2 linked regions of the Saccharomyces cerevisiae S288C genome follow. The gene in region 1 interacts genetically with each later gene. Each region holds a gene or a part of one and is shown in the gene's direction. Other genes may lie near its edges.

Region 1 (8,116 bases):
ATTTTCTGTCTAATTTTATAATTTTACTGACAGTAGCTAAGCCCTCTGTATTGCTGTTCTGTGTTATTGCACTAGTGTCATAACGCAGATGGTTTTTAGCAGAGTCAAATTGGGCAGAAAGCATAATTTCCATCTTCCCTGGCAAAGACAGATTTTCTCTTTTGATCACGTTAGCTAAATAATTCAAGATTTCGTTCGGTACTCCAGCTTCGCCCTTGTTAGCAGGCTTGTATTTCAACAGAATTGCTTGTATTTGGGCTGGATTCAAGGCATACCAGAAATCGAATAGTAACTTGAACTCGTTCAAGTTGCTTATCTTCAACTGTAATATCTTGACAGCCTGAATTATTTGAATCAAATTGGGACGAACGTCTTCAATTCTTGGTTCAAACCAGCTCACCAACCGCTCGATATTTCTATCCACTTCGTACCCATACTTCCAATTTAACGCGGGACATTTGGTTATTAGGTCATTAAATAGCATTACGTTCAGATACTTCAGGGTGTCGTTAAAAATTTTTGTATGCATTGAGTCAACAACTTGAAATTTACACAAGACAGCATCAAATTCATTTAAGAATGTGAATAATTTAGCGAACTTCTCATCACCAGAATTTTTAAATAGCTTCTCGTTTAAAACCATATCGAAGATCTCGATGTGGGCTGAAGCATGCTTCATGAATTTCACTAACCAAGTGGAATAAATCTTGTCGAATACTTTTAAAGTTTCATTCTCCAAATCATTCAAATATATCAGTGTTAACTTATCTTTTTCATCACCACCATTCGCTTCATATAATGTTTTTTGATTTGCAGCAAATGCGGGAAGTCTGGAAAGATTACTTAACCAAAAGATACCACCAAGCATTGTTTCGTCCTTTGGTAGACTCATAACAATGCTTTCTACAGTCAATAGGACTTTCGAGATGAATTTGCTACTTTGAATCAATAACCCATTTCTCACTAAGCTACTTACCACTGTAGTAATGACGTGTATAGGACCCAGAACATTGTCTCCATTCACCTCAGTAACATTTACTTTTTTCAAGTAACCTTCTGTGACTTCTAATGTGTAACAATTCAGGTCCATTAGTAATTCTAGAAGATCAGGATTTCCTGATTCTCTACGAATTACATTGACTAGCTTCGGTTTTACTTGTTGTCCTGCGATTCCCAAACCTTTCACTTTATCATTCTTATTAGCAGAATATGTGGTGGTGAAATCTTGTGCTATTACGTTTTCAATAAACGCTAGTTCTTGCTTCATTGATTTGACTTCATCACTTAATCTTGAAGGTTTGTTACCTTTTATAGCAGCCAAACTTTGCATATGTGACTGTATTAAAGAAGATTGCTTCTTTTTTCTCTCCTTCAAGGCATTCTTCTTGTTTAAAGTATTCATGATTTCAACTTGTAACGTCTTCAGCTTGGAAATCTTATCATTATAACCATTTACTATCGTTTCGTACTCTTGCCTTTGCTTAGATGGAATATTTGACAAATCTCCCTGCAACAACTGTGTTAATCTTGTATATGAGTCATTTAACATCTCTAGATTCAAAATGAAAGAGTTCTTAAATTCGATAGCTTCCTCCAGTAATCCAATCCCGTAACTAGCCCTAATATTCCGTTCTTCAACTTCTTTTTGCAGAACTATATACCTTCGTCTAGCTAACTGCATTCTCATGGCGCTTTGTACAAGAATGGAGCTCCTTTTCAATGTTCTGTAATCTGTTTTGTGACCATATGATCTGATGTAGCTTTGGATAATTACTGCCGCCATGAGCATGAATTTCCTGTTAACACTATCTAAAATCAATTTTCTTTTACAGGTACATTGTAGTTTTATTATTTGCCCAATGGCAGCTCTATAGTATTCCCGTTTCCATAATGCTCTAATGTTCGTTTGTAGTAATATGGCAGCTCTTGTCTTGAGCTCATGATCGACCCTTGTACGAACCAACAAACTTCTAATTTGGCTTTGGCACTTCTTTATTGATTCCATGGTCTGCAAATACTGAAGCCTATAGTATCTTGCCCTTATCTTTTTCTGTATTATGATGCATATTTCATTCATTTTATTAGTCCTTAGCTTTTCCAAAAATGCAAGCATTCCTGCTTTAAAGAAAATTTTGGTATTACCAATTTGGTATTTTGCTGAATCAGAGATAGTAGCATCTAGAATAGATTGACAGAAGTTGACGATTGCCTCTTTTGGGAGGTCTGGATTATAAAGAATTCCACTCCATAAGCTGTAGTCCGTCAGGAGGAAATATCTTTGAACGAATTCGTCAAAAGTCCATCTTGATGGAAAGCCTGCACATGAAATCCTGATTGTTTCCAGCACACCACAAGCTCTTAATTGCGATAAGACCATCAAATTATCGAACTCCCATGGCTTTTTTTCAGAATTTGGTTTTATGCAACGAATATAATGAACATTAGTAGAATTTATGATGGCCATCAATTCCCCGAGCGATTTTTTGAACATAGATCCCAGGGTTGGTTTCTTTTGACTTAATCTTGCTGGGATCATTATCTTTTTTTCAGTATTTTGCTCTTCAGGAGCATCGTCACTCCTAAGTTCTCTGTTGTCTAAAATTTGTTTGAAAATTGGATTTGTCGTTGCTTTGAAAACATCCAGATGACCTAGGGAAACGCTGTCTCTATTCTTTTCAATAAACCCTTCAACTTCATATTCTACATCAACAGCATAATGGCTTACTATAAACTTCGTTTGTCCGAATCTTGGCTTCGAAAAAACTTCATTTGAGGGCGGTTTATTAAAGGCAGAATATAGTTTTGAGGCCCATGATTCATCTGAGCCTGATGGTAATCTACTTTCTTCATCTAATAGAGAAAGTATTCCAAGTTTATTCTCAATCAAGTCTATGCAAGGTTGGTTGTCGCTGAACTCAATGAAAGACCACTCAATTTCCTCCTTTACATATTCTTCTTGCTCCAATTTGAAAACGTGCTGGTTGAACTCTTGTTGTAATTTTTCATTCGCATAGTTTATACAGAATTGTTCGAATGAGTTTTTCTCAAAATGCTCAAACCCGTAGATATCTAAAATACCAATAAAGGAAAAGACATGATCTTGTTGATCCAGCTCAGGATCGTATAATGTCTTGTTAATGTTGTCTACTAGCCAATCAAAAAGCGTGGAATAAATAAATTTCGCCACAGAGTCCCTAGCAATTAGCGCTTGATTGTAATTCAAATTAGTGACAATTTTTTCAGACCTTGTGACGATTTGTTTCTTGACAATCCATTTTGCAAAATTGAAGGGATCAATACCCAATAATTCACATGCGATTTGCAGGTTTTGCTCTTCCGATGATAGTGATGCGTCGTTTCTAGTCATTTTCATCTCGATATTACCTATATGTAGCAAGCCTGCAAGAATTTTGAAAATTCCAAGCTGAGTCTCGTGGTTTATACCTACTAATGACAGGGCATCAGTGGTTATCTTGTATTCTCGAGCTTCATCTATACCAGCTATGTTCGGCTGTCCACCTTGGTTAGTATAATGGTAGTCCTTGGGAGATGACAAATGCAGTTCTTGTTTTACCGGTTCTGGCAATCCTTCCAAAATTTGGTAAAAAATATGGTAATTTCTTTCTGTCTCTGGCTGATAAACTAACCTGGATTTTTCCAAGAGATAGGTTCTAATTTTGGACCCCCTGATGGTAGTATTCTCATCAAATAAAATTTGCAGATATTTGCCGAAACGAGAGGAATTATCATTTCTGGTAGTTTTGGCGTTACCAAAGGCTTCCATGATCGGGTTAGTAGCTAAAATTTGGCTCTCGATTTGAGACATTTCCACTTCCCCTTCACGATTGTTGCTTTCTTGGACTGAGGCAAAGTATCTCATAATGTATTTAGCAGAGACGGTCTTACCAGCACCGGATTCACCACTGACTACAACAGTCTGGTTAGCCTTTTCATGGACCATGAACCTGTACGCCTCCTCTGCTATGGCAAAAAGGTGCGGCTCCAGCTCATCTTTACGCTTACTAGAATAATTCTGTATCATCTCGCGAGAGTACAAATGGTCGACTTTATCAAAGGGATTAGCGGCAATAAGGACAATACCAGAGTAAGTATATATCTGTCCATTCATGTATCTTTTTTTTATGGCATGCAGCACTGCCGGTTCGTTCAGATATGATAGGGTGGTTAAGTCATCAGTAGACTCTAAAATAGGTGGGTTTCGTAGTACAGGTAGCGTGGGATGATCATCATCATTTTCGAAGCTATTTGTTTCAATGGATACAGTTTCTCCATCCTCCAATTTCAACTCTAAGTGGAACGTTCCTTCAAAGAAGTCATTCTTGGTGACTTCGCCGCCTATCCAGCCTTGTTCTTTGTGAGGGTACCAACACTTAGTTCCTACTTCAAATGACATGCGGGAGAACTGGTTATAGGATTTTTTTTGTTTTTTTGTGTTTTAGAATTAGATTGAATTATAAAAAGAAGAACAAAAGGGTATCGTATTGAAAATAAATTGTCTCGCCAAACTGGTAACAATGTTTTCAGCTAGAACAATAAGAAAAGAAGAGAAGGTAAAAAAAAAGGTGATAACTCCGTAGGAATTGAGGAATTGAGTATGCAGAATCAGAATAAAGGCTGACTTTCAAAAAAAGGTTGTATTACAATTGCAGGTTTTCGATAAAAGAGACCCTATTCTCATCTACTACTGCTAAACTTCGAGATATTTTCGAATTTTTCAGTCTTTTCTTTTTTTTTTTTCGCATTAGTTCAGAACCCTAAAGAATGGTAAACATTCTATGGATAACCCGGAGAGTGAGTTTCTTAAAGACCTAGTTTTATTTTAAGGGTTTTAACTCAATCTTGATGTTTTCATTGTGTACCCTAAAGAAAGTTTAAGAATAGCCCTAACTGTTACCTTTTGAAATAAAATAAGGGGAAGGTCAAAAAGCTATTGTTCTATTGTTATGAAACATTGTCTCAAAGAGTAAGAATAACACAAATTGATGGCAGTTTTTTACGTAGTCCAGTAGTTGTCCAGGTACAATGCAAAATGCTCAAATAAAGAGCTCTTCTAAAGGCAGCGGAATAGATGGTACAGATCGCAATAGCAAAGATGGTGTAGAAAAGAGACCCCTGGAAGATGTAAAGCAAATGATTGACGCTGGAACACCAGATGTTGGCCACAAATCTACTGTTGAAACTAAGCCAAACGTTGGATGGCAAGCCTCTCACAGTAATTTGGCTGCATTACACGAAAAAGAGCAGAAATATGAAATGGAGCACCATCATGCTCGTCATAAACTGCATCGTCAAGTTATTCCGGATTACACGTCTGCCTCGACCGCAATGTTCAGCGATTGTATGTTCAACGCAGCACCAGATAAAGTACGAAGTCTCAGTACGATGAAGTCTTCTGGACTCTCGCCAAAACACCCATTTAACGTAGTCGCCACCTTTAAAGGACCATTCCCGCAGCATAGTGTAGAATCAAAGCCTCTCGATGGTGGATACTCTGCCAAAGACCATTTTCCCTCATTTAAGATGTTGCAAGCCCAGCAGCACCCAGCCCATCGCCATTACAAAGACAACGACAAGTACGGTCTTAAATCACCTTCCCGGTCCTTCGTGAAGGACAAGAAAAGGTTGGTTCACCGGTTTTTGAAATCCATGGAGCCTTCTTCGTCTGGGCAATCTAAGGATTCGTCTGCACTGGCGCCGGCTTTCGATCCAATATTGCCCAATGTTATATCTAAGCCTTCCAAGCGACCCACACATCATTCGCATTCATCAGACGGGAGTTCTAGCACGCAGACAGATATATCGTTACAGAGCTTGCTTTACCATGATCTTGAAAGCTCACCAAAGAAACATGTTTCGCCCTCAAGACCGCCCTCTGTAGCTTCCGAATCCTCTCCTGCCGTTGCTAATCCCATTGGGCTTTCGCCAAAAGACGCCTGCAATGCATCGTTTTCGCAGTCGTCCTCATCTTCGTTGTCTTCTTCTTCATCGTCTTCATCATCGACGTCATTCTCACAGTCAGTGGCTGTTGATCCTCTTGAACCTCCTGGAAATATCACATATAGTAGTTCGAATCTTTCGCTAAATTCAGATGAATTAGACTACTATCAGCGTCATATCGGATTGCAGTTACAGCAGACAGAAGCTTTACTAAAGCACAGTTTGAAAGATGAGGTTCTGAAAGATGAAAATGACCTTGTTAAAAACATTGCAAATTTTGACAAGATCGTTAAAGAGCTAAGGGACTTAAGATCCAGGACCATTGGATGGAAAGAGCTTGTTGAAGAGGATTATTTAATGAATTTGAAACAGGATTTTGACAAGGAAAACCCCGAATCATTTGAGGCACGTTTGAGTGATACAATAAATACAAACGTGGCAAAATTACAAGATTTAGAGAAAAGAATGGCTTCTTGCAAAGACAGGTTGGCCTCTAGGAAGGAAGTAATGAGGAAAATGGAAAGTTTATTGTCTTTGGAGAATTCCTTAATGATATCCAAAAAAAATGTAACATTCGCATCTAAATACCGCAACGAGGCCCTTGATATTGTCTTTTTAATTATCATCATCGTCATATGCTATACCTTCAAGCATCTAGTATCGCATAAATAAAAAATAGTATTTGTATATCAAAAAATGATCCTGTGATTTTTTCATATGTAACGTATAAATGTAAAAATGTGCTTCTTCTGGTATTTTTAATCAAGTGGAAAGATGAGTGGAAAAAAGGGCAATGAAATAGAAAAGGACAGGCCTGAAAGGGAAGAATACAAGAAGATTGAGTATATTGGACTTCACAGTAACCGTGAAAAATGGCACCAAGTATAGCAACGGTAAAGATAGCCAGGGACATGGTTTTGCCATTACGTATATTTGTCAATAGAAAGCAGATCCTTCAAACCAATGATAAGACTAGCAATAAGTCGAATGCCACTATATTTGAAGCACCATTATTATCAAATAACTCCATAATCTGCTTAAAATCACCAAATACAAGAATATATTTATCGCAACAAGATAAGAAGAATCTTTGTGACGAGATCAAGGAGGACCTGTTATTGATTGTTTACGAACTAGCGTCCCCGGAAATCATCAGTTCCGTACTCAGCAAAATAAGAGTTGGTCATTCTACTGATTTCCAAATCAACGTTCTGCCCAAACTTTTTGCAGGTGCCGATACGGATAATGCGGTAACTTCTCACATCCAGTCTGTGACAAGGCTGGCTAAATTCAAATACAAGTTGCACTACAAACATAAGTGGGAGCTCGACATATTCATCAACAGCATTAAGAAGATCGCCAATTTAAGGCACTATTTGATGTTTCAAACATTAACATTAAACGGTTTCTCATTAAATGCAGGACCCAAAACGTTATTAGCTAGGAAAATAGAAAAACAGCCCCAGGTACCTAATTTGTTAATAGAAAATGGGGACGCTGATGCCCTGGATACACCGGTGGAAGAGGATATAAAACCTGTAATAGAATTTATGTACAAGCCTGTTATTAATTTAGGTGAAATTATTGATGTACATGTGTTGCATAGGCCTAGAAGACATAAGGTACGTACCCAGTCGAAGCAACCCCAGGAGGAATGAAAAACCGATAACAAAGTGATGGCTTAATATTATAACTTCTATATAACGGATATATTTTATGGTAAATGTACATATTTCAGTAATGGTAATAATGACTTTTCTTTTTATCTTATTTTTATTTTTGTATTTTTTGTCTTCTGCTCTTTGTTTCTGTGCCTCATATATCAAATGAAATATCATCTCTCGAAGAACTGAATCTATTTGAATTTTGATTACCATCAGCAAATGGATTTTCAATGAACGGTTCTGCACTTTCAAAGTCGTTACTTCCCAGTCCATTATTGTCATTAAAGGGGTTCGCCGAAGCATCTTGTAATTCACCGTACTTACCTCTCTTTTGAGTAGTATCATACATTCTGACAATTTTTTCTTGCCCACCCTCTTCAGCCTGTGAAAAGGCAAATCCTCTTTGTTTTTTCATTCTTTGCACTTGCCTCACCTTCCTGATGGCATTTTGAAATTGCTGAACGTGCGGCCTAGAGTCGCTGATATTGTATTTC
Region 2 (6,545 bases), on another chromosome or scaffold:
TCCATTAACCTTGGGTACCGCCTCAATAATTTTCGAATCCACTCCTGCCTACCCAGATTATGGTAGATATTGGAGAATTATCCAACGTCACAAGGCTACCCATTTCTATGTGGCTCCAACTGCTTTAAGATTAATCAAACGTGTAGGTGAAGCCGAAATTGCCAAATATGACACTTCCTCATTACGTGTCTTGGGTTCCGTCGGTGAACCAATCTCTCCAGACTTATGGGAATGGTATCATGAAAAAGTGGGTAACAAAAACTGTGTCATTTGTGACACTATGTGGCAAACAGAGTCTGGTTCTCATTTAATTGCTCCTTTGGCAGGTGCTGTCCCAACAAAACCTGGTTCTGCTACCGTGCCATTCTTTGGTATTAACGCTTGTATCATTGACCCTGTTACAGGTGTGGAATTAGAAGGTAATGATGTCGAAGGTGTCCTTGCCGTTAAATCACCATGGCCATCAATGGCTAGATCTGTTTGGAACCACCACGACCGTTACATGGATACTTACTTGAAACCTTATCCTGGTCACTATTTCACAGGTGATGGTGCTGGTAGAGATCATGATGGTTACTACTGGATCAGGGGTAGAGTTGACGACGTTGTAAATGTTTCCGGTCATAGATTATCCACATCAGAAATTGAAGCATCTATCTCAAATCACGAAAACGTCTCGGAAGCTGCTGTTGTCGGTATTCCAGATGAATTGACCGGTCAAACCGTCGTTGCATATGTTTCCCTAAAAGATGGTTATCTACAAAACAACGCTACTGAAGGTGATGCAGAACACATCACACCAGATAATTTACGTAGAGAATTGATCTTACAAGTTAGGGGTGAGATTGGTCCTTTCGCCTCACCAAAAACCATTATTCTAGTTAGAGATCTACCAAGAACAAGGTCAGGAAAGATTATGAGAAGAGTTCTAAGAAAGGTTGCTTCTAACGAAGCCGAACAGCTAGGTGACCTAACTACTTTGGCCAACCCAGAAGTTGTACCTGCCATCATTTCTGCTGTAGAGAACCAATTTTTCTCTCAAAAAAAGAAATAACTTAAATGAGAAAAATTTCGTAATGAGATAAAATTTCGCTCCTTTTCTGTTTTCTATTTTCTATTTTCCCAACTTTTGCTCTATTCAGTTATAAATTACTATTTATCCATCAGTTAAAAAACAAGATCTTTTACTGGTCAGCTAGGAAAGCGAAAATACAAAGACTTTATGCACTTAGTGATATATATGTATAGATATATCCATTTTTACGCACTTATCATATATCTTAGTTATCTAAATACAATCTAGTTATTCGTACACAATCGCCCCTGTTATCCCTATAGTGGGAATAAAGTAATGCACTGTGACGGGGTTCTTCGCCCGGGATAGGGTAAAAGGATATTGCCGTTTCAAGAAACTTCGGGGATAATCGAATAAGATACCGAGAAAGCTATTGTTCGTTGTGCACGTAGGATGTATATTGAACAAGCATGACCAGAATCTGATGCATTACGAGAAGGTTACGGGATGATATCAGACCTCCGAAGTCCATGTTGCAAAATGTGCCGACTTTCCGCGGCGCTATTTGGCACAAATTTCAGGAGAAACATCACTGTCGGTGTTATAGAATTCCATCTATATTGTTTTCCCCGTAGGCATACGTCGAGGAACTACTATATCTTTTTTCACCTTTTGTATATCTGTATTTTTGGGTCAATGTCTGGTACATAAGGTGAGTCATATTTACATCAAAGTGTGTAACGTATAAGAGGTAAAACAAGTTACAGTACTCATATAGTATTTCTTCTATCGGTAATTCTACATGTGTCTGATCAAGGTCTATCATTTTTATATGGTGGAAACGATTTTCTAGTACTACAATAAATGAACCAAGATGTCCCTTTCTCTGGGTGCCGCTATTTACATTGCATTAAAACCTATATTTAAAATTTACACCATTATGCTTGTTGGCTATTTGGTAGCTAAGTTCGATATTGTTTCCATGGAAAATGCGAAAGGTATATCAAATATGGTTGTTAACGCTATTTTGCCTTGTTTGACCTTCAACAAAATTGTGTCCAATATTTCATGGAGGGATATAAAGGAGATTGGAGTGATAATACTTTCAGCTTTTATCTTGTTTGTTTTAGGTGCCACGGGCGCCTTATTTACTACATTTGCTACGACTGTGCCCAAAAAATTCTTCTGGGGGCTCATATTTGCGGGTTTCTTTCCAAATATATCAGATTTACCTATTGCCTATATTCAGAGCATGGGTAACGGCTCCATTTTTACTGCTGAAGAAGCTGATAAAGGTGTTGCTTATTCCTGCATTTTTTTATTTATTCAAAGTTTCCTAATGATGAATTTTGGAATGTGGAGAGTGGTCGGACTTGATTTTAGAGATACAAAAGAACCAGATAGTGAGAATATTACTCCGTCAGTAAGTCCCGCTATCGACGATCGCAAACTTACTGAAATAACAAAGTTACCTAATATCACACGTCCTACAAATGCCTATCAATCGGAAGATGCGAGAAGTAATAGCGATTTGTCTTGTAACTCTATTACTACAAATGAAATGACACCGCAGGCATTCTACGAAGGTTTTACTGGCTACATCAAACCCTATAAAGAATCAAATGGTGCATCCCATAAATTTGAAAGTGACCTTCCGCATGCTGAAATATATAGGGTTTCCTCGACTTATTCAAGCCCAGGCGCATTGGAGTTCTCGCGAATAGATGGCAGTTCCCTCTCATATAGTCGTATATCAAAAAATAGCGATGGCAGAAGTTATAGAAGAAAAAGGAAAGCGGATATGAATGAGTTGATTTCCAAATACAGTGCCGCCGAAAAAATAAGGCAAGGTGAATTAGATTTATCAAGACCACTATCCTTGACTGAAGAAGTTGGAAGCAGGAACGCAAGTATTGGTAATGTGCACACTGGTTATACCGATGAAAGTTCCATCGAAGAAGAAAATTGCACTAATATGGCCACCGACGGGAGGGGTAGCCTCTCCTTCTTTATAGAGAGACACAATCTCAAATGGTTGCAGTACTTTATTATAAATTGCCTCAGGCCAGCATCTCTGGGGGCAATACTAGGAATAATATGTGCATTAATTCCCTGGGTTAAAGCATGCTTCGTAACGACATATGTTCACGTTCATAAGGCGCCTGATGGAGAACCTGTTCTGAATTTTTTAATGGATTTTACAGAGTATATTGGAAATGCATGTGTTCCATTGGGGCTTCTATTACTTGGCGGAACGTTGGCAAGATTAGAAATTAAGTCATTGCCACCTGGATTTATTAAATCCGCCTTATTGATGACATGCTTTCGATTAATTGTCATTCCTATTATTGGCGTCCTATGGGTAAATAAACTATATTCGATCGATTGGCTGGATACGGGCATAGGAAAATTTGACATGATATTAACGTGGTCCATGCCGAGTGCTACTGCTCAAGTATATTTCACAGCATTTTATACGCCAGCATGTGGTGATCACATTCAAATGAACTGTTTGTCCGTCTTATTTGTCATGCAGTATGCGATTCTTTTCATCACTGTGGCGTTTGTTGTTACATATACCTTAAAGGTCGATTTAAAAGTTTGATTATATCCCTAGGCGAATAGGTATATACAAGAGTAGCTTATTATCAACTTATATATTCTGTTTTTTCAAAAGTAGCGATGAATTCCAATCGCGTATTTATTCGTTGTATTTATTTTTTGGGGTAGGGTTGTGGGGGGGGATCCGCGTAAGTATATTTATAACAATTCAATAATAATATTGTAGATTTGAAGAGAATCACACATGTAACAGAAAAGCTGTAATGATATTAAGTCAGAGGAGGATGCTGAGTTCAAAGCAACTAATAGAGAACTTGATAAGATACAAATTTCATAAAACACCATATACTCGGAGCTCAATATGGCCTTTCAAAAGAAATTCGGCGGTAATAATACTATTATTCATTGGAATGAAAGGCGAACTACGAGTGCTTTTAACTAAACGTTCAAGAACATTGAGAAGCTTCTCAGGTGATGTTTCATTTCCTGGAGGTAAAGCTGATTATTTTCAAGAAACCTTTGAAAGCGTAGCCAGAAGAGAAGCTGAAGAGGAGATTGGGTTACCGCATGATCCTGAGGTCTTGCATAAGGAGTTCGGAATGAAATTAGACAATTTGGTCATGGATATGCCATGCTATTTATCAAGAACATTTTTAAGTGTTAAGCCAATGGTCTGTTTTCTTTACAAAGATAAATTAGAAAAACATGAGGATAAATACAAAGTTCCCTTAGATATCCGTAAGTTTTTTGGTAAGCTGAACCCTGGAGAAACATCTTCTTTGTTTTCTGTACCACTCAATGACTTAGTTATACATCTTCTTCCTGAAGCCGATGAGGATGTTAAGAGTTATCAAGCAGAATATTTTGAGCGGAAGGAGTATAAGCTTAATTGGGGTGGAATAAAATGGTTGATTATGCATTATCATTTTCACGTAGCAAATAATAACGAAATGCCATGGTTGCAAACCATAGAGGATTTATCAAGTTCAGACGAAGACGGTGTTGATGGAGGTATTTTCAGATTCAGGGATTTGTGGGGACTCACATGTAAAATATTATTCGACGTTTCATGTATAGCTAATGGACTAATGGACGAAAAGTTAAAAGGAGAACTAGGGCACGAAGATTTGATAGTTGGACTACATGACTATGGTAATCAGATGCAACCGAACGGAAGAAGTGAATGGGAGATAGGAATGATCAACGGCGACAGAAACTTAAAATATAGCGATGTGATACCTGAATACTACATGAAGCACCTGCTGGAGTGCCGCTCGCTTTGGTAAAAAAAACTGTGGTATAATGCGTTGCCTAACAATACTCTCAAGAGATAATCAAGATGAGAGAAAAAGAATCATACTGGATGTCCTTAATCGATAACAAAAAGTTTTTAATGAAGAATGACTAATGATGAAATTGTTATACAAATACAAACAAACTACACGCTTGCACATCTCAGAAGTGAAAAAAAAAAAAAGAAAATTGAAAAGTAAATTAAAAGTCATTTATTTTTTATTGCTTAAATAAAACAAAATGATATGTCATATTCTCGATTGGATGTCAACCCAATTTTATTCTTTGGTTTGCCAGCATGATCATCTTCACTTGCAAATTATATAGTAAATAACCAATTAAAATAATAATAGTAATAGAAACAGAAAGTAGAACACTGTTATTGGATTCTTTCAGTTGGAATTATTCATATATAAGGCTTAAGCCAAAGATGGCAAGTTAGAAACGTCAATGTTACGGTTCTTTTGAACGGTGTTAGCAGAGTTAGTAGCGTTAGCAGTGTTGTTACCCTTTCTAGCGCCTCTACCACCACGACGGTTGTTGAAGTTGTTTCTGCTGTTGTTGTTTCTGTCACCGAAGTTCTTTCTAGTGTTAGATTCAACAAAAGTGGCATCAAATTCCAAGTACTCCTTGGTCTTCAATTGCTTAGATTTGACGTTCTTGACCTTGGTTGCTGGAACGTAAGCTTCCTTTTCAGCAGTTTCAATTCTTTCAGCGTCTAATTCAACCTTCTTAGCTTCTGGGACCTTGTTGAACTGGTTGTTAGCTTGTTGGTTCAAGTAGTCTTGCAAAGACAATTGAGCGGTCTTTGGCTTACCAGCGTCTTCAGCTTCTGCAGCGTCTTCAGCAATTTCAGCAGCAGCATCGGCTTGAGCTTCCTTTTCAGCACTCAATTCCTTCTTGTCATCACCCCAACCTTGGTTAACCTTCTTCTTGGTGTCAGTCTTACCAGTTCTAGAGTGGCGGTCAGTGGCCCTTCTGGTGTTGGACTTCTTGGTGGTGGCAGAGTCAGTGACATCCTTTGATCTGTTGTTTCTTCTACCAGCGGTCTTGTCTCTGATAGCACCCTCGTTACCAGAAGGTCTTGGTCTGTTCTTTCTAGCCTTGGATGGGTCAGCGGATGGAGGTGGGACGTCAGCCTTCTTGGAGGAAGTGTTGCTCTTGACGATTTCCTTTGGTGGCAAAACGACAACGTCAGCGTCTTCGACGTCGTTACCTAACAAATCAAATGGGTTGGACATTGAGAATAAAATGTGTATGCTTTCTTGGTTTATTTCTACTTCACCTCTAAAAGAATACTGTGGGGGGAAGAGAAATTTGCAAAGAAATAACTTCTAATTTAAAACTACGAAGCAGAAAAAAAAATCTTCCACAATAAACCAAGTATACAACTAAAACAAGCGAAGGAAGGAAGAAGAACAAAGGGGATATCGACTCAAAATCAAATATTACAAGGAAAATACCATATAATTTCTCTACTCAGTTAGGGCTTCCTCTACGCAACGATGATATCAAAATTGAAAAAAAAATTTCTTTTTGCGTTGGTGCGAACTTTTGGGAACACTTTCCATTCCAATAATTTCACTTTCCTTTATCTTTCTAAACGGTGATGTTACCCGTCTAAATAACAACATGGTAGCGCCATATGTTATACGGCTACAACTTTGTGTCACGT

Evidence for each region. Genes that interact genetically often act in the same process or in processes that back each other up.
Region 2: mutations in SAW1 (region 1) and YLR152C together harm fitness more than expected from each alone (negative genetic interaction), as found in Saccharomyces cerevisiae (2 studies listed by BioGRID).

What each region holds. Positions count from the first base shown.
Region 1 is NC_001133.9:87,857-95,972, forward strand, and holds SAW1 (DNA-binding protein SAW1), read left to right. Parts: upstream 1-6,830; coding exon 6,831-7,616; downstream 7,617-8,116. Other genes in the region: MYO4 (myosin 4), read right to left, coding at 1-4,414; FRT2 (Frt2p), read left to right, coding at 5,044-6,630; aminophospholipid-translocating P4-type ATPase DRS2, read right to left, coding at 7,774-8,116. UniProt on the Saccharomyces cerevisiae protein: Catalyzes 3'-non-homologous tail removal of RAD1/RAD10-dependent single-strand annealing recombination intermediates. Plays a key role in targeting RAD1/RAD10 complex to 3'-flap cleavage substrate in recombination.
Region 2 is NC_001144.5:440,033-446,577, reverse strand, and holds YLR152C (uncharacterized protein), read left to right. Parts: upstream 1-1,889; coding exon 1,890-3,620; downstream 3,621-6,545. Other genes in the region: acetate--CoA ligase ACS2, read left to right, coding at 1-1,054; PCD1 (8-oxo-dGTP diphosphatase), read left to right, coding at 3,841-4,863; STM1 (Stm1p), read right to left, coding at 5,290-6,111.